Lonchura striata: one gene and its partners. The protein of the gene in region 1 binds, or shares a complex with, the protein of each later gene. Links are inferred from orthologs where the notes say so. Each region holds a gene or a part of one and is shown on either strand. Other genes may lie near its edges. The genes, in order: THOC1, THOC2, SARNP and THOC7.

Region 1 (7,062 bases):
CTTAGTGGGCCATTTGACAATCACTGCTGTTTGTGACCATATTTCCACCTATCTGCAGATATAAATTGATAAAAATGAAGTATAATGCCTGGTAGTATTCCAGGAGATCTATGCCAGCAAGTCCCATATCCCAGATAAAGATGAAGAATAGAAAAATCAGTCATTCTCAGATTCATAAGTGAAGCATATAAGTCTTCTAGGTGAATCCAAAATCTTCTACATAAATGAACCCTTCCTAGGTACTCTTGCCAAATTATTTTTAAAAATGCCACCAAAATACAAAATATATCAATAAAACACTTCTGCTGTAACTGGTATGAGAGAATGGGATCATATGGTATATATTCCCCAGCAATTTATTCAATAAATCAAGAGGAAACCCTGAAAGTATTAAATGGACAAGAACATCATAACGAGATTTGACAAACATAAAAGTTGAATACATATTTTGGTGAAAAGTGTAATATACTAATAAAATGCAGAAAGATTCTCTGTTATTCACGTTATAAAAATGTTATTTAAGTTTTCCTGAAGGGCTGTGCTTTGTGTTAATCTTGCTTCTCCTTCGTCAGTCCACACATTATTAATTGTACCTCACAGTCAGTAACAAGCTACAGTGACTGGCAGGACGCCACCTTAAAATTAAGTGCCTAAGGTAGGACACCTTGTATTCATCAATGTTTAAAAGATAAAACTGCCTTGTGCAACTTCCCATGACTGGTGTGGAAACAACAGGTAAGCTAGTTAAACCAGGCTCCTAAGGCAATTTATCCACCCTGTAGTTCTGCACTGAAGGGTGTGCAAGGTGGTGGGGAAGGAAATGGGTTGAGAAGAAAAGCACTTCAGCATGAGAGCTGGAAACTAAGAAGGGAGAACAAAGCACTAAGCCCTCAGGCTATCAGAGATCGGAGGCTTCAGGTCTCCAGATATGCCCTTCTGCAGAAGTGGTAACAGAAATTAAAATTGAAAGATTGATCTTGGAACGGGGTTTTACTCCAAAAGACAGCATCTGGGTGAAGTTTTTTGTAATTCCATCTACACAGCCTCTTGACATAAAATGATAGAACATCTGTTCTAGCAACTGACCTCTGAGTACACAGGTCTCCTGAGATACTGTTGCTGTTGATTGCTTTCATCTATCTGAGCTTTCAACTGGTGATAGCTTTAAATCTGGGCTGAAAAATTATTTGGCGTATAATACTATTATAGAAAGCAATATTTACTTCTTTTTCCCCACCTTAGCTGTGCTAGCTTTCCACCTAGCACATACCAGAAGACACAGCTTTTTCTAACATACTAACATATCTAATTTATAATTAGCTACATTGACAATATCACTGACTGCTCTTTATATCCAGGATAACTGCGGCATTTTAATTCACGGGTATGCAGCACTACTCCTCTGATTGAGTTTCTGATCCCCCAAATCAGATTTTGTCTGCCAGCCCAGAGCACAGTTTGGCACCTCTGTTAAGGTGATGAGGATGGCTCTAAGCGATGTTGTCAGGTGCTGCACGGTGACACCACCACGTTGGCAAGCAGAAGTGCCACGCCGCTGACATTGCAGGGCAGGGCTCTGCCCGGGGTGCACAGCAGCTGCTGGGGCGAGAGCTTCTTCAGGCACTGCAGCCTCATCTGTCCGCAGCACAACAGGAGCACTAACAGCCCAGCGCTCATCCCCACCTCTCCGCGAGAAAGTAACACCGTTCCAAACGGGAAAAATTCGGTACAGAACAAGAGGTGGCTATAAACCACTATTAAATCACATTGTTCTTTATCTGTTCCTACCCCAAGGAAAAAAACTCCTCAGTCATGTTGTACTCATTAACAAATATACTGCACTGCTTTTTCAGTATGTTGGCAGTTCTCTCCGTTCATCTAAAACATTAGTCTTGGCTTAAGGAATATTTCTAGTCAAAAATGACTCAATTTTCTTTAGCAGTATCTCCTTACTTTCACTTCTATCATCTTTTTAAAGTGTAAAGCTTTTTTTATAACCAATTTATAGAGTTCTTCTTTGTTTCTCTTTCTTACAGCAAGAGATGGGGGCTAGAATAATTTCAAATTGTTCATTTAGAATGGCCATTTATTCAGCTGATAATATTATTTAATTTATTAAAGTAAGAGATGAGAAATAGTGGAGGGGGAGGGGGGAAGTAAACTTTCGCCCAAGCCTGAATGAACAACATTCAGCAAGTCTCAAAGCACACGCAGGTGACTCATTCAAAAAAGACAGATCATGTGGAGCCTTATTTTCAATGTCATGAAGCCTCTTCCCCCATGGTTTGAAAGGAATTGGCATCCTCTGGCATTGCCCACGTTTCTTAGGCAGTGTCAAGCAATGATTTCAGTTATGGATGAGGTGACAAACTCTGGGCTGGCAGGGTGCCTCCACCTCCCCATTAGCGGAGCAGCGCCTGGAACCAGCCACCCAAGCGCGGGTCAGGCCGCCCCTCCCGCTGCATCTTCCTTTTCTGGGCAAACACTTCCCTCTCCCGGTACAAACGCTAACTACAGCCACACCACGCCATAAATCATGCCCCATATATTCCCATCTATCCTTTCATGCTTTACTTTAAATATTTGCACTTAATAATGACAATAAACTTAATTTTAATATTACTCGCCTCTTCCCATATGAACGGGATATTCGATGTTTGAGCTTTTTCCCACGTTTGATCAAGAGTTTGGCAGTACCTGTGCTTTTGGCCGGACACCAAGGTCACTTCTACCCCTGACAATTCTATGATTCTGATTCTATGATCATGATAAATGTAATTTATCAAATATTTCTGTCGCCCAGGAGGTATCTGTAGGATATTGCTCAACCTGTAAATTGTCAGCACTGAGGTGATTTTACTGATGATATTAAGTCCCTAATCATTTTTACTTCAGTGGAAATGGTGGGAGACTGTGGTCTAGGGTTTTTTATCAGGAAAAAAATAACCAACAGTTACATCTGTAGAGTCATTTCAGCTTTGGTAATAGTGAAATGTGAAAGGTCTGGGCACAGTCTGATGAGGAGTGGCTGAGGAAGCTGGGGTTGCTTAGCCTGGAAAAGGGAGGCTCAGGTTGTTGTTCAAAATAGGTTCATTCACCTGATATTTAAGAAGCCAGTCCACAATCTGAGTCGAGGTGTTTTATTTACTTACAGTCCTGAGCAGAGGACTGCCGAGCAGCAAATCCACAAAGCCAGCACACTGACTACCAATATGTTTCCCTATTTATACATTTTAGCAAACAAAGGCATTAATGTTCACTGGCAACAAGTTGCATAGTTCTCTTATTAATTTGTATTCTATCTTCTGTTAGTTAAGTAATTCCCTCATACTCACTCTAATTAATCGCTATGGCCAGGCCTTCTCCTGAGCCCATGGGTCGGTGGTTGCAATCTCCCTGTCAGAATTACCTTATACTCAGCTCCAGCCGATTCCAGCACAGTTGCAGAGTTGGCTTTGTCACTTCCGTCCTTATCTCGGGAGTTCTGCCAAACTTTCTGGTGACCTGCAAATGCTGCATTCTTTTGTGTCCACTCTCAGTGGCACATCCTTCTCCTCAAGCTTAGCGGACCATCCGAGATCACTGAACCATGTCAAATACTAAACTTTTAACAAGCCAATTCCACCGAGAAGCCATTTATCCTTCTAACACCTGCACGTCAAGGGAAGACCTCATCACCCTCTGCAAGGAGGAGGCTGTGCACAGCCGGGGCCGGCCTCGTCTCCCCGGCAACACCGACGGGACAGGAGCAAACGGCCCCAGGCGGTGCCCCGGGAGGTTCAGCCTGGCCACCGGGAACGGCCGCCCCGCCGGCGGGGCTGCCGGGCATTGGAACGGGCTCTCCAGGGAAGCGGCGGAGGCGCCATCTCTGGAAGCGTGCGGATGTGGCCCTTGCGGACGCGTTTTGGCGGCGGGCCGGGCAGTGCCGGGTTAGGGGCTGGACCCGACCGTCCCGGCGGCGTTTCCCGAGCCGCAGCCGGGCGCCGCTGGGCGCGGCCGGGCCCGTCCCGCCGCCGCTGCCGCGTCCCGCCGGGAGGGCGGGGCCGCGGCGTCATCCGCGCGCGCCCGCCGCGCCGCCCGCCCGCCGACATGTCGCCGCCGCTCTTCAGCCTGCCCGAGGCGCGGCTCCGCTTCACGGTGAGCCTCCCCCGCCTCCCTCCGGCCTTCGCTCCATTCCTGCCGCTCGGGCCGGGCTACGGGACGCGGCTGTGCCTCGGCGCCCCCGGGCCCGCGGCCCGGCCGCTCCCTGATGGAGCTGGGCGCGGCCGAGGTGCGGCGGCGCGGGGCGGCAGCGAGGGCGGGCTGCACGCCCGCTCGGCCGGGGCCGGGGGACCAGTCACCAGGGTAGCGGAATTAATGTGAAAGACAAAGTGTAGCGTGCCTCCTGCAGCAAAACGTCCGGGCGTACTGCGTTTGCTGCCTCTGCTGAAGGATGCCTTTCCTGTCCCAGAGCTGGGGGCTCCGTGTGTTCCCAGGCCTCTGGATCCCGGCGTTTGCCAGCCAGGTTGTCAGACAAGAGGATGGGATTTGCACTGAAGTGCTCGAGGCACAAGCACTCGATTCATTAGACCGAATTTGTAACAGGAAGTCGTAATTTTTAGACCATCTTCTTAGCAGGAGTCGTGTGCTTTTAAACATCTTCATAAACGCAGGACTTGCAGGGATCCTATGCAAGTTTGAAGGTGATAGAAAATTGGGAGGAGTTACTAACTCCCTTGAAGACAGCGAGAGGCTTTCAGGCACACGATGCGATTCTTGGGGCTGTCTGTGCAGAGCCAGGAGTTGGACTTGATAATCCTTGTGGGTCCCATCTGACTCAGAATATTCTCTGATCTGTGTCCCAAACCACCATAACCACCTGAAGCTGTGAGTGTAGCACGTGAGACAATGATGGATACAGTGTTGGTGTTTGCACTACACTGTTACCCCAGGTTTGAGGTGTGATGCTCTGTAGCTCACGTGCTTAATTTCCCATGTACTTGTTATTTGCCCTTCCTATTACAAAGCTCTCTCTGTAAACTAACACAAGGTGTGTGGCAGAAGGATTCCTTAGTATTTCTGCCCACTGTCAGATGAAGGAGGAAGATGCTTTAAGTTTTGTGCTTTCCTTAGCTTTTCTTTCTTTGCATTTTGGTAGACATCCACCAGAGAGGCTCTGATTAACAAAAGCATCAAGCCATTGTTGAATGCATTTAACCAGGTTCCTGGAAGGTAAGTAAAGGCCACTTGATTTTTTAAAAAGTACCTATTTAGATCAGTTTTAGTAATCTTGTGCCTGAGGGTTGTTACTAACTATGGTGGAATGTTTTCTTTTGCAGTGAAAATGAAAAGAAGTGTACCTTGGATCAAGTTTTTAGAGTTGTTGTAGAAGAAGAAATAGTAAGTATTTTAAACTGCTGAAGCTTATCTCTTCTTCAGCCTCAAATTTCTATTAGCGGGCTCGTGTATTAATGTAATAACAATTTACTTTAGTGTGAGAAAACACTTTATTAAAAACAAGAGCTATGTAATGGTGAGGTAATTGAGATGAAATACAGATGATTCAAGGAGATTGGTAGAATCTTGTATTTTACAGACATCACACTATGGTGAGAGCTGTTTGAGCCTTTTCTAGCAGTTCTTTGTAATGCTTATGAAAGTCTGCTACATCTTAAAATTCTAATTCATAAACATGCATCGTTCAGTAATTGTTCTTTAAGAGTGGGTGGAAAGGGTAGGTTTGGAGTAGATGTCAGAAAGAAATTCTTCACTGTGAGGGTGGTGAGGCACTGGAACAAGTTGTCCCAAAATGTTCTGGATGCTCCATCCAATGTGGAAGTGATCAAGGTCAGGTTGGATGGGGCTTTCAGCAACCTGGGCTAGTGAAAGGTGTCTCTGCCCCTGGCAGCGGGGTTTGAGCACTGAGATATTTTGCCCTCCTCAAATCAAAATTCTTTTGTGGTATGTTACTAATATGTAACAAAGCTGCCTTGTCAGCTGAAAAGAATGATAAAAGGAGTCAAATAATGTATGATCAAGTAATATTCAAATGAAGTCTGAATGTGGGATACTAATTTTCAGAAGTAAATGACTGTACATTTGGGTCTTTAGTGGGTGGAAGCAGTCAGGAAAGGTTTAATTTTCAATAAAAATTCAACTGCAGTTAACTGATAGGTCAGATTTCATAGATTGTTTTGAAAAGTTGAATTTCAGCATTTGTTTTAAATATGCCTACTTGGAAACAAGAATTTTACTTTTGTTAGGTACATTATGGTTAGTTTGGAGAATTTCAACACTGTTTTCTTTGTTTAGATAAACAAAGCTCCATGTGAGAATCTCCTGGCAATTATTTCTCTTGCTATTAATGGAGTCACAGAAGGTGAGCATTTCTCTTTCAAATCTATTGGCAGTTTCAAAGACCATTTAGGGAAATTTTAAAATCTTGATTTCTGTAAATCATCTGCTGTGATTACATTTGGTGATATATAGCTCTTATGTTAGTGGTTAAGCTTGGATTTGTTTCAGAAGAGAAATTAAGTATAATATAATTAAATTTGGTTATATATGTGACATTTATGTTGGAAAATTTTTGTTTGTTTGTTTGTTAATAAAAAAAGATGAATGGGTTTGGTTGCAGCATGATTAGCAGTTTCTTTGTCCAGCACTCTAAAATGATTAGAAGTTTCCCATCATAATTTTAAAGATGAGACCACTGAGGCAGAGAGGTAAAATGACTTGGCAGAGGCAGAAATAACATCTCCTGGGTATCTGTGCTCATCTCCTGTCAGTATATGGCTGGTTTTTACATATTTAAATCTGTTTTAATGACAGCTTGTGTCAGACATCAGTGTGCTGTTCTCCTCTGAAATGGCTTTTGCTCTCTTCCTTTTCTTTATTTGTTCACATTATTCATCAAAAATTGTTTGTTTTAGTAAGTACAGATTACAAGCTGTATGTTTTGTGAGCTGTAGAATAACAAGAACTGTGCTTTGAGGAAAGCAGTCACTGCCTACAGAGCATGGGTGGATGGACTTGGAGCTCTGTTTTAGTGGTTCTTGAAAAGGTTCACAGGCTTCATGGATG
Region 2 (7,571 bases), on another chromosome or scaffold:
ACATACTACAGTAATTGTTCTTGATATAGCATTTTCAAGGAAGATGTATGCAATGGAAGACAAAATGTTGCTTAATTACTTTATTAGTTTTTAATTGTGTCATCATTCTTCAGTGCAGGCAAGCAGGAATTGTCAATGCAATGGTTCCAGCACAGGATGGGAGTAAGGCCCATTAGATCAGCTTGTCTTCATTCTGAAAATAAATCCCTGCAGCAAGTGTCTTACAGATCTCTACTTCTGCACTAACATTTTGCCATTTGGTGATACTGTGATTGAAGAAATAATTATCCTTTTCCCTGTTTTGGTCAGTTTCTTCGTTGTTCAAATCTACCGCTGAAACAGATTTTTGTGTGGGGTCTTTCTGTCTTTCCTTGTCAATGATCAGAAAAAAAAATGAACAGGATTCTTTAGAGTGATAGGCTCTGATGGGGGAGAAATACACATTGAATAAGTGAAACATACTGTCAAGCAAATAACTGATCTGCTGCCTACCAAATCCTGCTCCAATCACATTACTCCAGGCATTGCTTCCAGCACCTTTTCTAACAAAGCCTCTTCTTCACAGGCATTATGCAGAAGAGTTTAATTAGTCTTTCTGCCTTTCATTATTCAGCAGCAGGTTTCATGAACATACACAGAACCAACAAGTTATGTGCATGTTAAGCCCTGACCAGAAGATATCCAGGCCAATTGCGTTTGGAAATGGAACCTAAATCTACAGTTGGCTCTTGCCTGTGCTGCCAAGTGGTAAGAAAAGCAAACAACTCTGAGTGAAAGAATGCTGATTTCTGTGAGCTGAAAATAAGCAAAGCTCTCCATAATGGTGTGATCTTCATTAAATCTGGGACATTTTATAGCTCAGGATGATGCAATGACACTGAGTTTAGCTATGAAAAAACCAAAAAGTTGCAAGATGTATTTGACAATCACTGTCTAAGAATGTTTCTCATTTCAGCTGTCCAGATGAATGGAAACAGCCAGTATTAGCTAATGTTTAAGATTCTTACTTGCCTAAACAGCTTTTACCAAATGGAAATCATCTTAACAATGTGAACTCATGCCTCCTTTGTACCTTTATTTTTTCTGTGTGAGAATTTAGGAAATGTCTACAGAAAAAGAACTGGTACAATCATGAAACAATTACTGTTAAAAGAAAAAGGGGAATTTAGAACAATTAATTCTTACGTGGACATGATACTAAAGCCAAATAATAAAAAAATAATTTCTTCCAAAAAGTAATTCTTAATTGTCTGTGCAGAAAAAGTAAAGCACTCAATTGTTTAACCCTCAAAGCAGATAATAAAGTTGTGCCTTGTCACATGAATAATGGAACTGGTTAATACAGAGGAAAAGAGCTGTTGGATGTTTTATTTCTTTTGCTTTTGTACATTTCCAGCTCTCCCAATAGATGGCTGTAGTACTTATTTTGAAAACCAAGAATAAATACATTTTTATAAGATCCAATTACCACTGATATTTTTTTAGCTATGTATTTGCTGGATAATGTACTACAGCCTTGAAAACCTTGTATTTACTGTTCAGTTAAATAACTTCCTGCTGCTATCCAGCTGTTACCATAGTGGTGACAGAGGCATTTCCTTTAATGTAGCTCGGACAAAGCCTTCAGAGCACTTCTTTATTCAGGCAGGAAGCACAGTAGGTGATTTAAGATTGTGCTGTGACATATCCTGCATTTGCAGGCATCATTCTTCCTTCTTTTCAACATTTTATTTTATTCCATTATTTAGAAAGGTAAATGTAAACCTGTTGAAACAACAGAAACACAAAATTGTCCTGGCTTTTAACAAGGTTCTCTGACTTATTGATACAAATCTGAGGATGCCCAGGATGCTTTTTCTAGCAAATAAAAGCCTCATGAAAAGATGAAGAATGAACTATAAAGGCTGTTTTACAGAACTAAAATATAAGTCTTATTTTTTAACCTAGGAATTCCTCCCAGTTCAGCTAACATCAAGTGCTACGGAGAAAGACATTTCACTATCTAGAGATGTCCACCACAAAAGCAAGGATAAGTCAGAACTGAATATGACTTTATAGTGTGGAACAGACTACTCTGTGTCAAAAATACGTCATTCTGAGAAGGAATTGGTACATACTTATTTTAAAAATATTTTGCTTTGCCTACATTACTTTATGCAATACAAAATGCAATGTCTATGTTTTAGAGCTTATATGTCATATATAGAATCCATATTAATTAAGGAGAATGTATTTTATATAAATATTAAATGTTATGTTAAATAACCACTAAAGGTTTTGTATAGTACTATAGAAATGCTGTGGAATCAAGACTCTTCTCAGAGTAGATTTTAAAACTGGTTCTGTCATGTGTATTTCTGCATTGCATGTACTGTCTTTTATTTTCAGCCTGTCCCAGTCCGTTACTAATATACTTCAAGAAATAAGAGGTTTAAATTCCTTAAGTAAACTTGGGAATTAATCTGTTGGTCCTGCAATGATTTGATGGCTTTATTCTACTGCATTTCTCCATGACTGCCTCTTCCTCCTCATCATGAAGGCAAAATCTCAAATTTTTATCTTCAGACCTTACATAACTATTCCTACATACATCCTTGCACCTAATATATTTTGTTAGATTCTTGTTTTCTGTTTATGTGACTCTTAGGCTTATCTTCTAAATAGACTTATTGCATTTGCTTATAACACCCTCTCATTTTATTCCTCGGGCCTGCAATTCTATGCTTATCATTTATACATATGTTTTCAATATATTTATTGAATTTTTATTTTAAAAATAATCTATCAGAAATAGATTAGGCATTTGTAAACTGAGTGTATCTTCTATTACACTGCATATAGTATGCCTGGAATGTGGTCTCCATATAATTAAAATATAAGTATGAGAAGCAGAGAATCTGCCTCCTTTACTCCTTGTGTTACTGCAGAGTTTAGGGTTGTAAGGGATCCCCTTGAAGTAGGCGTTGTTCATAAGCAGCCTTCTGCACAATATTCTGCACAGCTCGCAGAAACTGGCTGAGAATGGTAACTGAAACAACACCAGTCCCTGTCTCAGGCAGAATTATGTAGATTTGCTGAAATGCTAGACTTCCTGATCAGAGCTATTTTGCGAGTGGAAAGCTGTTACACCTATATATATATATATATATATAAAACAAGCAAGCTGCACGTTTCAGTTCAGAGTGGAGAACAAGGCAGCGAGCACAGCAGTGCTGGCACCGATAACGGCACAGGGGCTGTGGGGCCTCACCTTTAGATTTTATTTCAATTTCCCCATTTGCTGAAGTTTCATTGTATTTGTGAAACAATTGACACTACTGTAGAGGAGGAAGCATGTACAAGACTGAGAACGTAGGTGGCTTGAGAGGAAAGAGAAATGTCTGACTAAAAACATTTGCTACCCGACCAAATGGAGTGTTTTAACCCTAATATCCCAATTAGCAACTGAAGGGAACACAGAACAACTTGCAGAAACTTAATGGAGACAAGCGACATGTAATAAAATAGGCACACGCATTAGGGGCGACACGCGGAATACGAGGTCCATACAACTGCTTGTCCTAAGTGCTTGTATCGGAAGGACCATTTAGACGTGTCATAGCAAGCTTTACACAATCCCTTTTTAACCGCCTATTTATTCAAACGATTTACCATTCTCGCCCTCTCTCCGAGCAGACATCTCGCCGCTCCGCCGTGCTCGGGGCCGGCGGCGCCTCACGCGCACCCGCACCGCGCGTGCGCACATGCGCCCGCTGCACCGACGCACGCGCCACGCGCGGGCACCCGCCCCACGCCTCCAACGCGCGCGCGCCGCGGCTCTAACGCGGACACGGACCGACACACGGCTGTAACCAGGACACACAGACACAGACCGGCACACGGCTGTAACCAGGACACACAGACACGGACCGACACATGGCTGTAACCAGGACACACAGACCGACACACGGCTGTAACCCGGACACACAGACACAGACTGACACATGGCTGTAACCAGGACACACAGACACAGACTGACACACGGCTGTAACCAGGACACACAGACCGGCACACGGCTGTAACCAGGACACACAGACCGGCACACGGCTGTAGCCCGGACACACAGACCGGCATACAGCTGTAACCAGGACACACAGACCGGCACACGGCTCTAACCCGCGCACACAGACCGGCACACGGCTCTAACCAGCGCACACCATCACACCACCACGCGGCTCTAACCGCACACACACACGCACAACCATGCGGATCTAACGCGCACACGCACACACAAACCACTACGCGGTTCTAACGCGCGCACACGCGCACACACACACACACACACACACACACACACACACACACACACAACCACGCGGCTCTAACGCGCGCACGCACACACAAAACCACGCGGCTCTAATGCGCGCGCGCGCGCGCACGCCCCCAGCACCACGCGTCCCTAACGCGCGCCCGCGGAGCCCGACGCCCCCGGGACTTCAGCGCGCACGCGCGCGAGGCGCCCCGCCCCGCCCCGCGGTTCTAACGCACGCGCGCGGGCGTGGCACCGCCCCGCGGCCCCCGCGCGCAGGCGCAGTCCGCCCCGCCGCCTCCCCGCTCGGCGCGGCCGCGTCCCGCGGTTTCTCGCGGCCCGTCCGTCCCCTCTGACCCGGCGCCGCCGCTGCTCCATCCGGGCCCTCGGCGCTGCACGGGGAAGATGGCGGCGCTGCTCCCGGCCGAGTGGATAAAGAACTGGGAGAAAGGCGGCAAGAGCGAGTTGTGAGTGCGGGGCCTCGCCGTGGGGAGGGATGGGCGCTGCGGCCTGCGAGAGGGGGGCGAGGGCCTCGGCGGCCCGGGGAGGCTGGGGGGCGGCGCAGAGGCCTTCGGCCGGGGCTGCGTCCTTGCTGCTGGACGTGGGGTCGAAGCCGTGGTCGGGAGGAGGGCCTGGGCCGCTCTCCCGTCGGGTCCGGCCGGGTGCTGCCGCCCTCCGCCGACGCCCGGCCGCCGTAGCTGGGCCCGGCTGTGCCGGCGCCCCGAGCGCCCCATCCAGCTCCGGGCCGGGCTTGGCGGGGGTCGGGCTCATCTTCAGCCGCCCCCCGAGGTAATGCGGACCCCGAAGCGTGCCTGTGTCGCTGCTCTACAGTACTGACCTTTCTGGCAGAGGCCTCAGCCCCCGTTCCCGCTTTTTTACCGATTCCGGTGGGACTGGCCCTGTATTCTTTGATCCAGGCAGAGTACGGTTAGGTAGTCACTCCTGTTCTATTCCACAAAGTAACGTTTGTTCACGGAGGGGTTCGGTTGCCACCTCTCAAACTAATCCAGGTGTGCCAGGAGCTTTCCATTGTGGGCCTGTGTTTGTTTTAAGCCATCTTTATGTGGCAAGTTCACTAAATGTTGTGTTTCAGGAGTACAGCTCTTCAAAGGGCGCTTCACCAGTTTGGTCATTTCATGTTTCTCTGTTAGCTTAACAGGGGTGTTCTTTGCACTAGCTATATGTTTTTTATGCGCTTTTATTTTAATTCTTCCATGTGCTTTTGCTTTTTGTTGTAAGAAACAACAAAATTTTAAATTTTTCAGTTTTAAATATGAATGTTGCAGGGATCACTTAGAGAAACACTTCCTGATAATCACTCATTTTATTTTCTTTTGTTCGTGTTTTCTGAAAGCTTGTGCAGCTTTGGCAATGAATTTTCTTTGTGCATGAGGGGAAATGGCAGTGGGTTGGAGATTAGAGAATGTAGAGAATCCCGGCACAAAACACTGTTCTTTCCAGAGCCACCATTTTGTAGTGAAGGGGGCCCCCTTTATAGCCGTGTAATTTTTAGTTTGAATCATGCTGGAGCCATTATTTGTGTTAGTACACAAGCTGAACATGTTGAGAGGCTGGTGGAGTTTGCAGGAGAACAGACATTTCACAGCTGATCACGTAATGGCAACTGCACTGTTCTCACTGGGTTCCCAGCTCTCTGAGCTTTGTAAGAGGCAACTTACATGGCTTGTGACCATGATAAAACCTTCTAGGATTGTTCTCTCCCCTCAGAGCAGGACTTCTTTAACAGGGTGGGAGGAGAGTGTTCATCTGCTGTGGGACCAATAAAACAAAATGATTAGCTAGATTCTTGTATTTGTGGTACTTGCACTTCATTTGGAAGACTGCTTAAATGGTGTTCCAGGCGTGACTTAAAGAGCAATTTGCAGATGAGGCCATATGTTTTAAAAGAAATGTAATTGTGTCTGGATAACAGTTGTCAGGTTTTGCAGTGGTAGCTTTAGAAATTTGAGAAATATGCATGAACTTATTTTCTGGAATCTAAAGTATATGCATGTAGACAATATTTAGAGAACTTTTTTAGGAAGACAGCTTTAATGGGAGAGTCTTCAGTGTGTAACTTTTTGTTTCTTTTTCCAAAACTTCCTATCTTCTGATTAACTAGAGGAAAACGCAGCTGGGATGCTATCATTTCAGAATGAAACACATGAAGTGTTTTTAAGCATTAAAGTAAAAAGGGAATAAATGCAATAACACTACTTATTTTTATTGAATTATTTGTCTAATACGAGTATGCCCAAGAATAAAAATTACGTCTAGGTGTAAGTTTACCCTTGGTCTTTGTGGTTGAAAGTGAGGACAATTCATTAAAATGATGTTAGAAAAGTGGGGAGGGGAAGGATGCTACAGAATGGCAAAACTGACATTACTAGCAAATAGAAGAATTACAAAAATTTAGAAGGTTTTTGGTAGGCATTTTAGGGGGATAAAAACCCTTCATAATTGCTAAAAAAGATTAGTTCTTATGGAAAAATATTTACTTGCTGGAGTATGAAATGGCTTACAGGATCTGGCTAGATCAGTTGAGATAGTATTTTGGCAGTAGTTACCTAAATGAGAACACATTTCTATGTTTTGGGGGAATATGAAACTATATTGAGAGAAGAAAATGCTTTCTTTCAATTTGGCATTTCAACTTCTACTAGAATTTATTAATCTACTAGGATTAATAATGGATACTCTAAGATAATTATACTTTTTTTTTTTGTTTTGGGTTTTTTTTGTATTTTATTTTTTTCAATGGTGTGATATTTTTGATTATGTGATCAACTTGTCATGATTTAACAGTGCTATCCAGAAATCAGAAGGTAAGGATTTTATGTCTTAAGAGTGTCATAATGTTAATTAGTAATGCAGCAGTGACCATTTGCTTCCAAGACATTGTTCAGAGACATCGGTCAAAACTGTACAAGCTTTGGATTTAATTAATTAAGCTACTGACGTGTAATAGTATCTAATAAAAATACACAAATGTGGTAGTTTCAAGTTCAGATCTGTCTCTAAGTACACTTTATTAAAATATATTCATTTATTTGCTACTGCCAGATACTGGTGTGCAAATGAAGTTGGAATCCAAGTGTGATGACTTACGCTGCTCAGTCTGGACTCCTTGTAGACCTACTTGTGTGTGCTGTGTTTGAAGGAAAATTATTTCCACAAGAAGATGCTGATCTATGACTGCAGCCCACATGGGCATTTATAAGTTACATAGTAACTGGTACCTTACCTTGTTTTGTGAGAGATTCAACGCATCAAGGAGCCTTTA
Region 3 (7,127 bases), on another chromosome or scaffold:
CGTGGTGGCCGAGGAGGAGCCGGAGCCGTTCCGGGGGCTCGGGGTGCAGCCCGCGGCCAGCGACACCGAGCTGAGGCGGGCGTGCCGGAGGCTGGCGCTGCTGGTGGGTGTCGGGGACACTTTGGGGACACTTTGGGGACATCCTGGGGACAATTTGGGGACAATTTAGGGACGCTGAGGGTCGTCGCTTGGCAGGTGCACCCCGACAAGAGCCGCGACCCCCGGGCGGAGGCGGCGTTCCCGGTGCTGCGGGAGCGGCTGAGCAGCCCCGAGAGGCGGCGCGAGTTCCAGGCGTGAGTTTGGGGCGAAAAATCCCAAATTTGGGGGTGTAAATCCCATCTCTGGGGTGTAAATCACAAATGTTGGGGTGAAAATCCAATATATTGGGATGTAAATCCCGGGTTTTGGGGTGGGATGGGAGCAGCTGAGCAGCCCCGAGAGGCGGCGCGAGTTCCAGGCGTGAGTTTGGGGTGAAAAAGCCCAAATTTGGGGGTGTAAGTCCCATTTTTGGGGCGAAAATCACAAATGTTGGGCTGAAAATCCAATATATTAGGATGTAAATCCCGGGTTTTGGGGCGGGATCGGAGCGGGTGAGCAGCCCCGAGAGGCAGCGCGAGTTCCAGGCGTGACTTTGGGGTGAAAAATCCCAGATTTTGGGGTATAAATCCCATTTTTTGGGGTGGCAATGCTGGGTTTTCGGGTGCCAATCCCATTTTTCAGGGTGCCAATCCCAGATTTCGGGGTGTAATTCCCATTTTTTGGGCCTCAGGAAGCAGCTGGCATGGTCAGAGCTGGCGCGGGCGCTGGGCGCATTTTTGGGGCTGTAATTCCCATTTTTCAGGGTGCCAATCCCATTTTTTTGTATAAATCCCTTTTTCTGGGGTGCCCATCCCATTTTTAGGGGTGCCCATCCCATTTTTTGGGGTTTCCATCCCATTTTTCAGGATGCCAATCCCATTTTTTGGGTTCTAATTCCCGTTTTTTGGGCCGCAGGAAGCAACTGGCACGGTCAGAGCTGGTGCGGGCACGGGACGTGTTTTTGGGGCTGTCATTCCCATTTTTCGGGGTGCCCATCCCATTTTTCAGGGTGCCAATCCCATTTTTTGGGGTGCCCATCCCATTTTTCAGGGTTCCCATCCCATTTTTTGGGATGCCAATCCCATTTTTGGGTTCTAATTCCCATTTTTTGGGCCGCAGGAAGCAGCTGGCACGGTTGGAGCCGGCGTGGGTGCTGAGGATGTTTTTGGGGCTGTCATTCCCATTTTTCGGGGTTCCCATCCCATTTTTTGGGGTGCCCATCCCATTTTTTGGGCTCTAATTCCCGTTTTTTGGGCCGCAGGAAGCAGCTGGTGTGGTTAGAGCTGGTGCTGGGCGCGTTCCTGGCCCGGCTGCAGGAGGAGCTCAGGGACGCCATGGGCTGCACCCGCTGCGGGGGTGCCACAGGTGGGGACACCGAGGGGACATTGGGGACACCGAGGGGACATTGGGGACACTGTGGGGACATTGGGGACACCGAGGGGACAGTGGGGACACTGGGGACACCGAGGGGACATTGGGGACACTGTGGGGACATTGGGGACACCGAGGGGACACTGTGGGGACATTGGGGACACCGAGGGGACATTGGGGACACCGAGGGGACATGGGGACACCGAGGGGACAGTGGGGACACTGGGGACACTGTGGGGACATTGGGGACACTGGGAACACTGTGGGGACACTGGGGACACCGAGGGGACATTGGGGACACTGGGAACACTGTGGGGACATTGGGGACACTGTGGGGACAAATGTGCCCATGCCCTCAATGACCCCAATGTCCCAAATCTCCCCAGTGTCCCCAGTGTCCCTGGGGGTGTCACTGTGTCCCCAATGTTCCTGGTGTCCCAAATATCCCTGGTGGTGTCCCATACCCAATGTCCCCAGTGTCCCCAGTGTCCCCAATGTCCCCATGTCCCCAGTCTCCCAATGTCCCCAGTGTCCCCAATGTCCCAAATCTCTCCAATGTCCCCAGTGTCCCCAATGTCCCCATGTCCCCCATGTCCCCTCGTGTCCTGGGGGTGTCCCGGGGTGTTCCGGGGTGGCCTGGGGTGTCCTGGGGTGGCCTGGGGTGTCTTGGGGATGTCCTGGGGTGTTCTAGGGGTGTCTCGGGGTGTCCTGGGGGTACCCAGGGGTGTCCCGGGGTATTCTGGGGGTACCCAGGGGTGTACTGGGGTGTCAGGGGTGGCCTGGAGTGACCTGGGGCTGGACACCAGTGGTCAGTCCTTGGGGATGGGATGGTAAGGAGTGACCAAGAGTGCCCGGGCAGTGCCCAGGTACATCCATGTGTACCCAGGTGTGCCCTGGCAGTGCCCAGGTACATCCATGTGTACCCAGGTGTGCCCAGGGGGTGCCCAGGTACATCCAGGTGTGCCCAGGCAGTGCCCAGGTACATCCAGGTGTACCCAGGTGTGCCCAGGGGGTGCCCAGGTACATCCAGGTGTGCCCAGGCAGTGCCCAGGTGTATCCAGCTGTGCCCAGCTGTGCCCCAACCCCTTTTCTCTCCCTCCCCAGGGCCTCCCCCAAGGGCAGCGCTCCCTCCCCCAGCGCCCCCCAGGATTTCCTAGCCCACCTTTTCCAGGGACCCCCCCAAGGCCAGGGGGGTCCCCCCAAGGGGGACACGAAGCACAAGAGGAGGAAGAAGGGGCGGCGGCCGCAGCCGCGCTGAGGAAAAACCCCCCCAGACCCTCACCCCAAAAAACCAAGAACCTCAAAAAAAAACCCCAAAAAACCTAAAAACTCCACAAAAAAAGGGCTTGGAATTTTTTAAAAAATCTATTTTTTTTTATTTGACTTTATTTGGTTTTTTAAAAATAAAATCGAGTGGTGTTTTTTGTATTTTAAATTTAAAAAGAGGGGAGTGGAAATTTGAGGGTCCCTAAATCACGATATGGCGGCAGCACTTCCGGTCTGCGCAGGAATAAGATTAACGTCACTGACGCCGTTGTGGGCGCTGCCATGTTGGTGGGTTCTATGAGGGTGCAGAGCGCGGCGCCATCTTGAGTGTGGGCAAGGCGGCGCTTCAGGCGCCGGTACCGGGATTGCGGCGGGGCCGGAGCGACCGGGAACGACCCGTGGGGGGAGGGTGTGTCCGGTTAGTGCGGGAGATGCGGTTTGGAGCGACGGGGAAGCGGCCGCTGCCGTCATGGAGGTTGCCCGCAACCATCATGGCGGGCACGACATCCATCATGGCGGCCGCCACGCCCAAAAGAGAAGCTCATTTGAATAATTTGAATTAATTGAATTATTTGAGTTATTTTAATGATAACAAGAGGGGGTTGTGGCTCAGGAGCTGCGGGAAGCGGAGGCTGTGCTGGAGATTGGAAGTGTTTTTAATGAGAAATAGAAAGATATGCAGTAGTACTAAATAAAGTTATTAATAAATTAAGTGATAATAATTTATTAATAAGGGAATAAAGCAGCAGCCCTTGGGAGCAGCGACTGGAGAAGGGAAAGGAGTGGGAAACGCAGGAATGTTTTGGAAAATGGCCCCAAATTTGTGCTCTGCACCGCTGGGTGAAGCACAAATGAATGAATTATAATGAATGAATTTATAACAAAGATTTAATGCAAAGCATTTAATGCACATAAACGGTAACTAAATAACGCAAATATATGCAAATTTTCGGTAATAATTAAACAACAATGAAATTAAATCATAACAAAGGCTATATTTTAATAGATAAAAGTACTGCAAAGAACATAGCAACACTCTAAGCAATAAACACAAAATAACCAGAGGTAGTAAATAATAAATATCTAATGTTATCCAGGAAGGTTAATAGTTTAATGAAGGGAGATAATTTTTAATAATTAATTATACCCCAGTCCCTCAATGACCCCGCTCCGCTCCTGGCCCCACCTCCCGGAAGTCCGCGTTTCCCGCCCTCTCTTCCCATTGGCTGTCTCTCAGCACATCCCTATTTCCATTGGTTGATCCGCACGTCAGTCAACATATCCCCGCCTCTATTCCCCGATAAGCCAATCACCGGCGGGCGCTGCCGGCAGCGCTGACCAATGGCGAGCGGCGGATTTGGGCGGGGCAGCGGGGGACGCGCGGCGCTGATTGGTGGGAGCGGCGGGAGGGGCGGGGCGGGCGCGGGGGTGCCAAGATGGCGGCGGAGCCGGTGGAGCTGCACAAGCTGAAGGTGCCGCTGGGAGAGGGAACGGAGCCGGGAAAACCGCGGGGAGAGAACGGGGACAGAACCCGGCAACCGCCACAGCCCGCGGGGGCAGCGCGGGGACTGCGGCTGGGACGGAGGGAGCGCGCGGGGGAACGGCGGGAAAAGGGCCGGAAACTCGGAGGGGTCCTGAGGGAGCTCTGGGGGGCTCTGAGGGTCTTGAGGGGGCTCTGAGGGAGTTCTGATGGAGTTCTGAGGGTCTGAGGGGCTCTGAGAGTCTGAGGGGGTTCTGAAGGAGCTCTGGGGGGCTCTGAGGGTCTGAGGGGCTCTGAGAGTCTGAGGGGGTTCTGAAGGAGCTCTGGGGGGCTCTGAGGGTCTTGAGGGAGCTCTGAGGGGCTCTGAGGGAGTTCTGAGGGGTTCTAATGGAGTTCTGAGGGGCTCTGAGAGTCTGAGGGGTTCTGAGGGTCTGAGGGGTTCTGAGGGAGCTCTGAGGGGTTCTGAGGGAGTTCTGATGGAGTTCTGAGGGGTTCTGAGGGACTCTGAGGGTCTGAGGGCTCTGAGGGAGTTTTGAGGGTCTGAGGGGTTCTGATGGAGTTTTGATGGAGTTCTGAGGGGGCTCTGAGGGGTTCTGAGGGAGTTCTGAGGGAGCTATGAGGGTCTGAGGCGGCTCTGAGGGGTCTGAGGGGTTCTGATGGAGTTCTGAGGGGCTCTGAGAGTCTGAAGGGCTCTGAGGGGGGTCTGAGGGAGCTATGAGGGTCTGAGTGGGTTCTGAGTGGTTCTGAGAGGTTCTGAGGGGGGTCTGAGGGGTTCTGATGAAGTTCTGATGGAGTTCTGAGGGAGTTCTGAGGGGGCTCTGAGGGAGCTTTGAGGGGTCTGAGGGGGTTCTGAGGGGCTCTGATGGAGTTCTGAGGGGGTTCTGAGGGGGTTCTGAGGGAGTTCTGAGGGGTCTGAGTGGGTTCTGAGTGGTTCTGAGAGGTTCTGAGGGGTTCTGATGGAGTTCTGAGGGGTTTTGAGGGTCTGAGTGGCTCCGAGGAGGCTCTGAGGGGGTTCTGAGGGTCTGAGGGGCTCTGAGGGGGTTCTGAGGGGGTTCTGAGGGTCTGAGGGGCTCTGAGGGGGTTCTGAGGGGGTTCTGGGGCTCTGAGGAGGCTCTGAGGGGGTTCTGAGGGTCTGAGGGGCTCTGGGGCTCTGAGGAGGCTCTGAGGGGACTCGGAGTGTCTGAGGGGCTCTGGGGGGTCTCGAGGGGGCTCTGAGGGAAGCGGGAATGGAACCGGGACCGAGGGGAGCGGGGCAGGGCTCCGGGGGAACCGGGAATGGGGGAGAACTGGGAATGGGGGAAAACCGGGAATGGGAGAGAACTGGGAATGGGAGAACTGGGAATGGGAGAACCGGGAATGGGAGAGAACTGGGAATGGGAGAACTGGGAATGGGAGAGAACTGGGAATGGGAGAGAACCGGGACTGGGGGAACCGGGACTGGGAGAGAACTGGGAATGGGGGAACCGGGAATGGGAGAGAACCGGGAATGGGGGAGAACCGGGAATGGGGGAGAACTGGGAATGGGGGAACCGGGAATGGGAGAGAACCGGGAATGGGAGAGAACCGGGAATGGGGGAGAACTGGGAATGGGAGAGAACTGGGAATGGGAGAACCGGGACTGGGGGAACCGGGAATGGGAGAACTGGGAATGGGGGAGAACCGGGACTGGGAGAGAACTGGGAATGGGGGAACCGGGAATGGGAGAACCGGGAATGGGAGAGAACCAGGAATGGGAGAGAACCGGGAATGGGAGAGAACCGGGACTGGGGGAGAACCGGGAATGGGGGAACCGGGAATGGGAGAGAACCGGGACTCAACCCCGATTCCCTCTCATTCTCATTCCCAGGTTTTTCTCGCTCATTCCTGAATTCCTTCTCATTCCCATCCTGTTTTTCTCTCTCATTCCTGGGTTTTCTCCACTCATTCCCAAATTCCTCTCTCATTCCCATTCCCGGATTCCCTCTCATTCCCAAATTCTTCTCTCATTCCCATTTCCGGATTCCCTCTCGTTCCTGAATTCCTTTCCCATTCCCATTCCTGGATTCTGTCACAGTCCAGGTTTTTCCCGCTCATTCCTGAATTCCCTCTCATTCCCACTCCTGATTTTCCCTCTCATTCCTGGGTTTTCCCCGCTCATTCCCAAATTCCTCTCTCATTCCCATTCCCGAATTCCCTCTCATTCCTGATTTTCCCTCTCATTCCTGGGTTTTCCCCGCTCATTCCCAAATTCCTCTCTCATTCCCATTCCCGAATTCCCTCTCATTCCTGGATTTCCCTCCCATTCCCAAATCCCCTCTCATTCCCGAATTCCTCTCTCATTCCCATGCCTGGGTTTTCCCCTCTCATTCCCAGGTTTTTCCCATTCCCGGTTTCCCCCCTCATTCCGGGTTTCCCCCCTCATTCCCGGTTTTCCCCCCTCATTCCGGGTTTTCCCCCCTCATTCCCGGTTTCCCCCCTCATTCCCGGTTTCCCCCCTCATTTCCGGTTTCCCCCCTCATTCCCAGGTTTTTCCCATTCCCAGTTTCCCCCCTCATTTCCGGTTTCCCCCCTCATTCCCGGTTTCCCCCCTCATTCCCGGTTTCCCCCCTCATTCCAGTTTTCCCCCTCATTCCGGGTTTCCCCCCTCATTCCCGGTTTCCCCCCTCATTCCGGGTTTTCCCCCCTCATTCCAGTTTTCCCCCTCATTCCGGGTTTCCCCCCTCATTCCCGGTTTCCCCCCTCATTCCCAGGTTTTTCCCATTCCCGGTTTCCCCCCCCATTCCCGGTTTCCCCCCTCATTCCCGGTTTCCCCCCTCATTCCCGGTTTCCCCCCTCATTCCCGGTTTCCCCCCTCATTCCCAGTTTTCCCCCCTCATTCCCAGGTTTTTCCCATTCCCGGTTTCCCCCCTCATTCCCGGTTTCCCCCCTCATTCCCGGTTTTCCCGAATTCCCA
Region 4 (7,933 bases), on another chromosome or scaffold:
AGTCTGGTGACTTCTAGTTTACTGTTCTATTCTAATTTAATGTAGTTTTATACTTACTTCAGTGTTTCATGTCTGTCTGGGTGATGCTGTATGACTTTGGCCAATGCATCATATTCTGAAAGACATTTAAATAGTTAATCTAAATACTTCTGAAAATATGGATTCAAGAACCCAAACTCAGGTATCATGAAATGGCAGATTCTTTTTCCTTGAAAAACTGTTTCAATGTTTTTCAAAACACCTTAAGACAGATCTGCATTGCTGCACACAGTCTTTTGTGTCTGATTCATAAACACTGGGTTTCGATACAACCAATGTATATGTGCAGAAAATGGTGCTGATTTTACACATGAACATTCAAGATTTTTAGAAAAAAGTATAAGATGCATGGATTTTTTTTTTCATTTTGAGGATTTTTTTTTAAAAACTATTACACATTAAGAATAATATTATGGTTATATATTATGGTTATACAGGCAACTAACACAGCCATTTCCTGGTAGTAGGACCATAAATATGCAAATTACCTCATTCACCTGGAAAAATTTGTGCTGCAGACAAGACAGAACATACCAAAAAGTAAACACTTCAGAACTATGTTCGTGAAGATGTAAGAACTCCACATTCCTACTGGTTATTTTATTTTCCAGTTGAGTTCAATATTATCTACAGTATTGATCAAATCAACTTGTATTTAAAACCTTTCATGTTGTATTTCTGAAACTTTTGGCATTTCATTTATCATGAAAAAAACATTTTTTGATTCTTCTCAACTGCTCATCTTTTAGAGTGTTGTAGATTTCAATGCATTATGAGTATATAATTTTAAAAGTAGGGTAAAAACACGCCTCTTAAAAAGGATGTACAGAAAGGACACTGTTTTAGGTTTTCCTGATGCTGCATGTCATTGAGATTTGGTTCAATCTTGCCTGTGCCATCCAGCCAAAACTTTCAGTTGTCAGTGGAACCCACCAGGCTGAATACACTAATCACAATGCCCTGCACATTCAAAAATTTAGAATCTATTTTCCAATACAATGTATTCTAGAAGATCAGAAAACAGTGAAGCCCACAACTATAAATACAGATATGGCACCTTACCCTGGCGATTTTTTCGAATCCTTTTTGCTTGCAGGATTTGTTTTTTGCATTCAGAGATCTTCTCATGGGCTGCAGCTATACTGTTTTCTTTTAAAAAGAAAGAGAGTCATATTGAACTCAGTACATGTAAATAAGCTATTCTGCTAAATTATAGAACATGGTGGCTTGTTAGCTCCATTAGCTTAAAAACTATATAGATGCCAATAGGTTAAAAAAGCTCTTGTTTGTATGTATTCTATGTAATTACAAGATGCTTATAGCACATATATGAGTGCTATCTAGTAAGAAAAACAATCCAAACCCAAAAAACCTCCAAACCACTCATCAGATGTATATATTATGTTTACTAGGCTTGAGCTTGTTCGCAGGAGAAACTGCCAAACAGAAATCAGTAACATTTTCTCATGTTTACCTATATCCTTATAGATTTTTTCATAATTTTCCATCTCTCTCAGGTTCATGTCATATACCAGAAGAGTTTTTCCCATTGAAAATTCACACTGTGATAAAGTGCTCAGCATTCGTTGGTACTGGGTATATCTGAAAACAGACAAGACATTTACTCTCAAGCAGCATAAAAATTTTTCCTCACTTCACAGAGCAAGAAAACAAAACTTCATGTAGCTTAAGGGACAGCTAAATAGCAATTATTCAATAAAGAAATTATATTCAGTGTATAGTTGGGGTTTTTGTTGGAAGTGCAGCTAGAAACCCTGTACACATTGATTTCAGCATCATTTCATTTTCAGTGTAGAGTGGGTATTAAAGCAGTGAGCAGTTTGACCCAGGGCTTATAAATTTTCCAGCTCGGGTTGGCTCTGTACCACCAAATTAGTATTTTAATACTGCAGTGCTTCTCTGTATACACACTGGTAATATTGTGATCTCTGGGATTTTATATCCATTACTAACACAGACCCTACAGAATGCTGTCACTCGTTACTCACTAATTTAGACTTAAAAATAAATAAATAAAAAAGAGAGAACGACAGCAGCAGAAATACCAGCAGTATTTCCCTTCCCTAACAGAACAAACGCAGAACTGCCAACTCAAATATCCGAGTCATGATCCTGTTATAAGAGCGGGACTCCTGGCTGGAGCACGCAGCAGGCACAGCATCCTGCGGGCACTGGAGCGGTGCTGGCAGATTTCACGATACAGCCCGCAGCCCTCGGCGATTGCTGACCCGTCTGCAGCCTCCTCTCCCAGCACAGTCCTCGGCGTTTGTCCTGGAAACACCACAGAGCCGAGGAAAAGCAGCTGTGCACATTTTTAACGCGGACCTCTTCCAAACGGATCGAGCCCCGCTCCCCACTGAAACGCAAGCTAAGCAGTTCCAAGACTTTAAAAACCGAAGCAAAACAACAGATACCCTTCCTCCTGAGATCCGGAATTACACCACTTAATGAAACTCTTCACCAACAAATTGATCCGCCTGTCGTCGCCAGCTCCATCGCCATCGATCAGCAGCCGCTTGCGGATAACTTCATCTGCGGAGAGGCTCCCGCTCAGCCCTCACGCCATGGCAGCCGGCCCCCGGCGCCGCAGGGAGCGGCTCCCGGAGCCGCGGCGGGCGGGTCCGCTGAGCCGCGGGCCCGGGGCCGCCTTGCAGGCCGGCCCGCGGGGCGAGCGGCCCCGGGCGGGCGCGGGGGCCCGGCAGCCGCTCCCCGGAGGGCGGGCGGGGGGCGCGGCGCCGCGGGGAGCCGCGGCGGGGGTCGCGGCGCGGGGCGGGAGGGAGGAGGGGAGGATGGAGAAAGGGAGGGAGGGAGGTCTCACCGTCGGTCACGGCCCCCATGGCGGCGAGTGCCGGAGCCGGCGGGGCGGCGGCAGCAGCGAGTGAGGTCAGCTTCCCACAATGCAGCCGGCGAGAGCGGCGGCCATGGAGGGGGAGGCGGCGGCTGCTGGGGCCTGAGCCGGCGGGCGGCGGACGCGCGGCCCGGGGAGGGCGGGCGGGCGAGCCCCGCGCCCCGCGTGGAACCGGCCCCCTGGCGAGGGGCGGCCCCGCCAGGTGAGCGCCCCACGGGGGAGGGAAGCGGCGGTCCCGCAGCCAGGCTCCACCTCCCCGCCCCCGCCACCCGCACCGGCCCCGCCGCCCCCCGCCCGGCCGCCCCGCCATGCCCCCGGCACATGGTCCCGCGCCATCGAGGCCGCCGGGGTCGGGGCCGCCTCGCCTGCGCTCCCGGCTCGGGGTGTCCTGCCCAGCGCCCCGCTGCTCCCGAGCTCCCCGCGCAGGGCTCCGCACGGTCCCACCGGCGGCGGCGGCACGCGGGAGCGGCGGACGGGCCCGCCGTGGTGGCGGTGGATGGTGCTGTCACGGTGTCGTTGAGATGGCACTGTGAGGGTGGTGGATCCCCTGTGCTGCCTGGCCAGCCCCGGTGGCTGGAGGCAGCGGGAGCGATGGCTCCTCGGTGCCTTTTCGCTGGTGACGGTGTGGAGGACGTGCCCATGGCACAGGTGTCAGGACATGCAGCAGGGCCAAAAATTGTTCTGATGTTTCCTGGTGAGTTTGGCTATGATCAGCAGATAGGAAAAATAGCTGTTTCTTCCTGTCCTGGCAAACTAAGCTGGTGCTGGAAAACGTTGCTAGAGGCGTCTGGAGAAAAGATATATTAAGGTGTTACCATGTATTGAGTTTAAGGCTTTTGGTCCATAGGCTTGGATGCTTGCACAGTGCTGGTAATGTTACTGTAGTGTATATCACAGTAGATGAGGCTTACCAGAACCCGACACCTTTCTATTCCCTCTTAATTTTGGTTTGAACAGTTAAGTGGCCAGCTGTCTTGTTCTGCTGGACACTATCCATTGACAGTTTTAGGATGGTGGGGAAAATTAGAGTGAGAAAAGAACAAAGTTAATATGTGCTATCATCTGTTAGTTCCTGGTTTTAGACCTCTGAGAGGTTAAGAGGCTCTTTCTTGTTCTTGATAGAGGCATTTAACAGCTCTTCACGGATTTCTAGATTGTTTCAAGTCAGTCCTTTGTCTTCAACGGGCAACTGATCAGGCCCTTTGGAAGGTTCTATTAGGGGAGCATTACTGGGAGCGGTCATTAAAACTCCCACCAGAACTTTTAGGAATAAAGCGTTTCCAACATAGGAAACTTGGATAACTGTTCTTGAAGTTTTTATGTACTCTTATGTGATTGGTGAGTGATATAATTGTATATGAAAACCTAACGATCTACCCAGTTACCCAAGTTGGGCCAAAGAATGGGCCATGCATTCATGAAGTATGTAAGCTGTACTGAAGGTGTTCACTTCTATGAACTCTGATATGTTGCCATTTGTTGGTTTGACTTAAAACTTCGTTTTTCTTAAGGCTTTGATCACTATGGTACAGCCTAGTATTTTGCCAAAGGGTGAGAAGAAGACCTAGCTGAAGTTCTCTATGCAAATTTTGTACAGTTCCTGCCTTTCTCTCTTTATCCACTTATTTCCTTTTGCAAGTCTTAAGCATTTTGAAACATCCAGTTTAATCAAGACTTAATATTTTTTTACACCTCTCTGAGCTCTTTCCATTTCCTGAGCCCTTTTGTTTTTTATCACAGAGGGAAGTTGGTCAGAACAGAAGACTATTGTGGGTGAAAATACACAATTATTTATTTAACCATCTCAAAACTTCTCTGTGATTTTCTGTCATTTAATCCAATACAATCTTTTCTCACTCTTTGTTCATCATTCCATTCTTGGTCAGATGGTCTTGTTAAGCTCTCCAGAATGACAAATAGATAGTCCTTGAGTAATCAATTTAGAATACAGCAGTACATATGACTAGTTAATAACATTTAATGCCTTTTGTTCCATTCTTCGTATGTGTTACTAATTACGAGCTTCTATGATTTTTTTTATTCCAGGTCTTAAGCTCATAAGAACAATTTTGAGAACAAAGCCATTATTTTTCTTTTTAAGACAGGGCTTTCAGGCATCATCAATGTTCATTAACTTTTCTCCTTTAGAATGGAAGTAGAACTTGGTAAATACATCATCAAGAATCTCACTACGGCTAGGTATTGATGCAACAGCCTGTTTGTTCTCTCTCTTGCTCTATTTTGACATATTAAGTATCCATGGGATGTTTTTGATTGGGAAGCCAGGTCCAGCTTGCTGGGTTCCTGTATGCATTTGAGAATTCACTGTGTCTTAGGAGTTTCTGTTTTGCAAGTTTCTGTTTTCCAAGTAGAATTCCTCTTCTTGTAAATGTGAAACAACCTTTGTTCTTGCGTGTGGAGGGTGTTGCATTGGACTGTATACAGCCATGCCTTTGCCATCAATTCAGTGTGATGTATGGTGTAGATCTCTAAAACTGGGTTAACTTATTCTTATTTATCTGTACCTCACCACTTTGGGTACTCTGGGCAGATTCTATCAGCCACAGTCTTTTATATAATCCTTCAACTGAACCTTCCCTAAAGCATCAGTAGTGGAGATTCACACAATAGGAAAAAATTCTTGCACGGGGGACAGCACCTGACTTTGTGCCAGCTCTTTTGGAATAAGTACCTGTGTGTGCTTTCAACCAAGCTAAAATGTCACACAATTTTCCCTCTTTCCTTGAATTCTTTTATGTGTGCCATATGGTAAGACCCTGGATCAGCTTATACATAATAATTTGTTGCACATCTGTCCTTGTCAAAAGTGTTAAATAATCCTCTGTAATGTTTCCAGGTGATTCTGGATGCAAGAAGTATAACCTAGGTAAGTTTAGTACTGCAAGATGTTACACGTGTGTGGAACTGGCTTTGATTTTTTCATAAGTATACTTTTTTTTTGTTCCTGAAAATATGGCTTTTAAGTGCACTGATGTTTTTTTTTTTTATTGAGGAAATCTGTTAATGCTGAAGTTTTCTTTCCTGAGAAACAATCTATGAGAGCAAAAGTTTAAAGTGACTGTATACCTCCTCCCTTTTTCTTTAACTGTGTGTGTATATGATTTTTTTTCCCAACCACACAAAAAGTTAAAGGGGAAGAAGCTTTTTATAGTATTCCAGCCTATAATGAACTATGATTTTTAAGAGCTAAGAAAACAGCTTTAACTATTGACAAGGTGGATTAAAAATATTTTTCTTTTGCCTCCCTAATAATTTATGAGGTGGTTTTAGAGTCCAGGTTTTCTTCATGTTGACTAACTTCTAAATCAGACTTCTGTGTAACACTAAATCTTAAAGAGATCTAAGTATAGTAGGTCAGAAACTGCAGGGTATTTTTATCCAGTCCAACCTATATTCTTGTCAGAAAGCCATACCAAATTTATTTAGTGAGACCTATTTTCTGTAAGCCTATGTTTAGCATTACTTTTTACCACCATCCTTTATCTTTCTGTTGATAATATACCGGGATTCTGTGCAAGATGGATAACAAGCTAACCTATCAGGCTGTTTTTCTCATTTGAAATTGTTAGAGTTTTATTATCTTTGCAGTCTTCTGTAGCCTCAGCATTTACTGAAAATTAGCATCAGTGTTCCAAGAGCTTGTCATCTTGTTCTGTAAAAATTCTAAGACACTGGCTGTCTAATTCTGCAGATATTAAAATAGTCACTCTTGGCAGATAAACCTGAAATCTTTCAACCCAGTGATTGAGGTATAAAAAGTAGCGAGTGATTCTCAGCCTTGTAAAAAGCTTTCCTGACATGGACCCTTGTCTTTCTGCAGAGCCAGCCCATTTTCATAGAATTACAGCAGAATGGAAGAAGGGAGGGTGAAAATACTTGTGACTGTAGTGATAGTACCAATAATTCTAAAATGCAACATTTTATTATCTAAACAGCAGTCAATTTTGCTGTATTCTGCCTGTGTTACCAAGATTGATTAAATGTGCTGTTAATCTCATACTTTAAATACCAGGCTCCTATCAGATAATAGTTTAATCACAAGTAGTGGTCTACAGTATTGGTTTTATTTGTTATTTTTTATTTTGTAACTGAAAGAAGCCTGTAAAATTTCTGAAGTTTTGATGGAAGCATCTTGCAAAATATTAGTCCTGGAAATATTTTGTTCATTAGAAAGACATTTTATCACTACTATTTTTCTCCTGAAGGGAGAAAAGCTTATTTTAGTCATAAAATTAAAAAAAAAAATAGTGCTTCATGGTCCTTTGAATTTTTTTTTCCTAAGTAAGGGCTCTGTGTCTTAGTTAATCTTAATGACACAGGTGGCATTCTGATATTGTCCTCTTTCAGCTATCTTCACAGGAATTATGTAACAGCTTTCCAAATTTCATATCCAGATCCTACTGAATATTTATGAAGCTTGAGGATCAATTATTGCACATTTTAGGATGATCTGTGACTAATTTATTAAAGCTTGTCAAACTCAGCTTGGAATTTCATTATATTGGATGTGTAGGTATTGAGTATAGAAGCCAGAGCTTTTAGGTGCAGAGATGCAAAGGGAAGTGTGCCCTGTGTGTGTGCCAAAAGGGGCTCTGTTAGAGTGGGATTAGCAGGAGTGGCACTGTGGGTCATGATTCCTACTCCCAGGGGCTTGGTAGATTCCCACTTAACAAGAAAGTCAAGGTGTTTTAACAGGTGTCTTGAGAAACTCTGTGTCATGAAGCTGCTGCAAGAACAGATTAGCTGGTTAGAATTTTCTTTTAATCTGAAAATCATTAACACTGTCGACTGCCTGTGCAATGGCTCAGAGATCCCACATGATGTCTGCATTCTGTGATTTAAAGTGACTCAGGTAATTTTGGTATGGCATTTCATGCTGTTCTGTGATTCTGTTTCAATGTGTTTTGTAAGAAAGCAGACGTTATTTTGGAGGTTTTTTGACAGGATTAGGCAGTTATCTAGCATGCTCTTAATTTGTTGGTAGGATGTTTTCAGGGTGACTTA

Evidence for each region.
Region 2: the proteins of THOC1 (region 1) and THOC2 are in contact, whole or in part, in a cryo-EM structure (PDB 7ZNL), measured with the Homo sapiens proteins. The link is inferred for Lonchura striata from reciprocal best matches to the Homo sapiens genes THOC1 and THOC2. Residues at the interface, in NP_005122.2 of Homo sapiens: Asn134, Arg138, Asn141, Leu144, Arg145, Lys149, Thr153, Cys156, Gly157, Gln160, Leu161, Ala164, Arg165, Phe167, Gln242, Phe245, Arg246, Tyr297, Ala299, Lys300, Phe301, Arg319, His320, Leu323, Gln324, Ile327, Tyr331, Arg373, Phe374, Lys376; in NP_001075019.1 of Homo sapiens: Leu155, Phe156, Tyr157, Lys158, Gln160, Asn163, Leu164, Leu165, Arg166, Asn169, Glu170, Ala173, Lys174, Ile176, Ala177, Gly180, Gln181, Asn195, Lys197, Ser198, Leu199, Ile200, Gly201, Cys202, Phe203, Asn204, Leu205, Pro207, Asn208, Arg209.
Region 3: THOC1 (region 1) and SARNP share a complex: the UniProt entries of both Homo sapiens proteins name them as parts of the transcription/export (TREX) complex. The link is inferred for Lonchura striata from reciprocal best matches to the Homo sapiens genes THOC1 and SARNP.
Region 4: the proteins of THOC1 (region 1) and THOC7 are in contact, whole or in part, in a cryo-EM structure (PDB 7APK), measured with the Homo sapiens proteins. The link is inferred for Lonchura striata from reciprocal best matches to the Homo sapiens genes THOC1 and THOC7. Residues at the interface, in NP_005122.2 of Homo sapiens: Leu10, Arg14, Glu46, Gln53, Arg56, Glu60, Ile63, Ile64, Asp99, Asp102, Cys103, Leu104, Pro105, Arg146, Gln151; in NP_079351.2 of Homo sapiens: Tyr47, Gln51, Leu54, Ser55, Ser58, Gln59, Phe62, Gly65, Lys66, Leu69, Val70, Met73, Arg76, Glu77, Asn80, Ile84, Ile88.

What each region holds. Positions count from the first base shown.
Region 1 is NC_134603.1:48,096,385-48,103,446, reverse strand, and holds the start of THOC1 (THO complex subunit 1), read left to right. Parts: upstream 1-4,052; 5' UTR 4,053-4,089; coding exon 4,090-4,137; intron 4,138-5,137; coding exon 5,138-5,211; intron 5,212-5,318; coding exon 5,319-5,379; intron 5,380-6,291; coding exon 6,292-6,358; intron 6,359-7,062. UniProt on the Homo sapiens protein: Component of the THO subcomplex of the TREX complex which is thought to couple mRNA transcription, processing and nuclear export, and which specifically associates with spliced mRNA and not with unspliced pre-mRNA.
Region 2 is NC_134616.1:9,796,285-9,803,855, reverse strand, and holds the start of THOC2 (THO complex subunit 2), read left to right. Parts: upstream 1-4,564; 5' UTR 4,565-4,693; coding exon 4,694-4,755; intron 4,756-7,571. UniProt on the Homo sapiens protein: Component of the THO subcomplex of the TREX complex which is thought to couple mRNA transcription, processing and nuclear export, and which specifically associates with spliced mRNA and not with unspliced pre-mRNA.
Region 3 is NC_134629.1:9,289,884-9,297,010, reverse strand, and holds the start of SARNP (SAP domain-containing ribonucleoprotein), read left to right. Parts: upstream 1-4,122; 5' UTR 4,123-4,151; coding exon 4,152-4,187; intron 4,188-7,127. UniProt on the Homo sapiens protein: Binds both single-stranded and double-stranded DNA with higher affinity for the single-stranded form. Specifically binds to scaffold/matrix attachment region DNA. Also binds single-stranded RNA. Enhances RNA unwinding activity of DDX39A.
Region 4 is NC_134614.1:17,667,725-17,675,657, forward strand, and holds the start of THOC7 (THO complex subunit 7), read right to left. Parts: upstream 3,011-7,933; 5' UTR 2,898-3,010; coding exon 2,879-2,897; intron 2,593-2,878; coding exon 2,475-2,592; intron 2,205-2,474; exon of another isoform or gene 2,106-2,204; intron 1,642-2,105; coding exon 1,514-1,641; intron 1,189-1,513; coding exon 1,102-1,188; intron 116-1,101; coding exon 58-115; intron 1-57. UniProt on the Homo sapiens protein: Component of the THO subcomplex of the TREX complex which is thought to couple mRNA transcription, processing and nuclear export, and which specifically associates with spliced mRNA and not with unspliced pre-mRNA.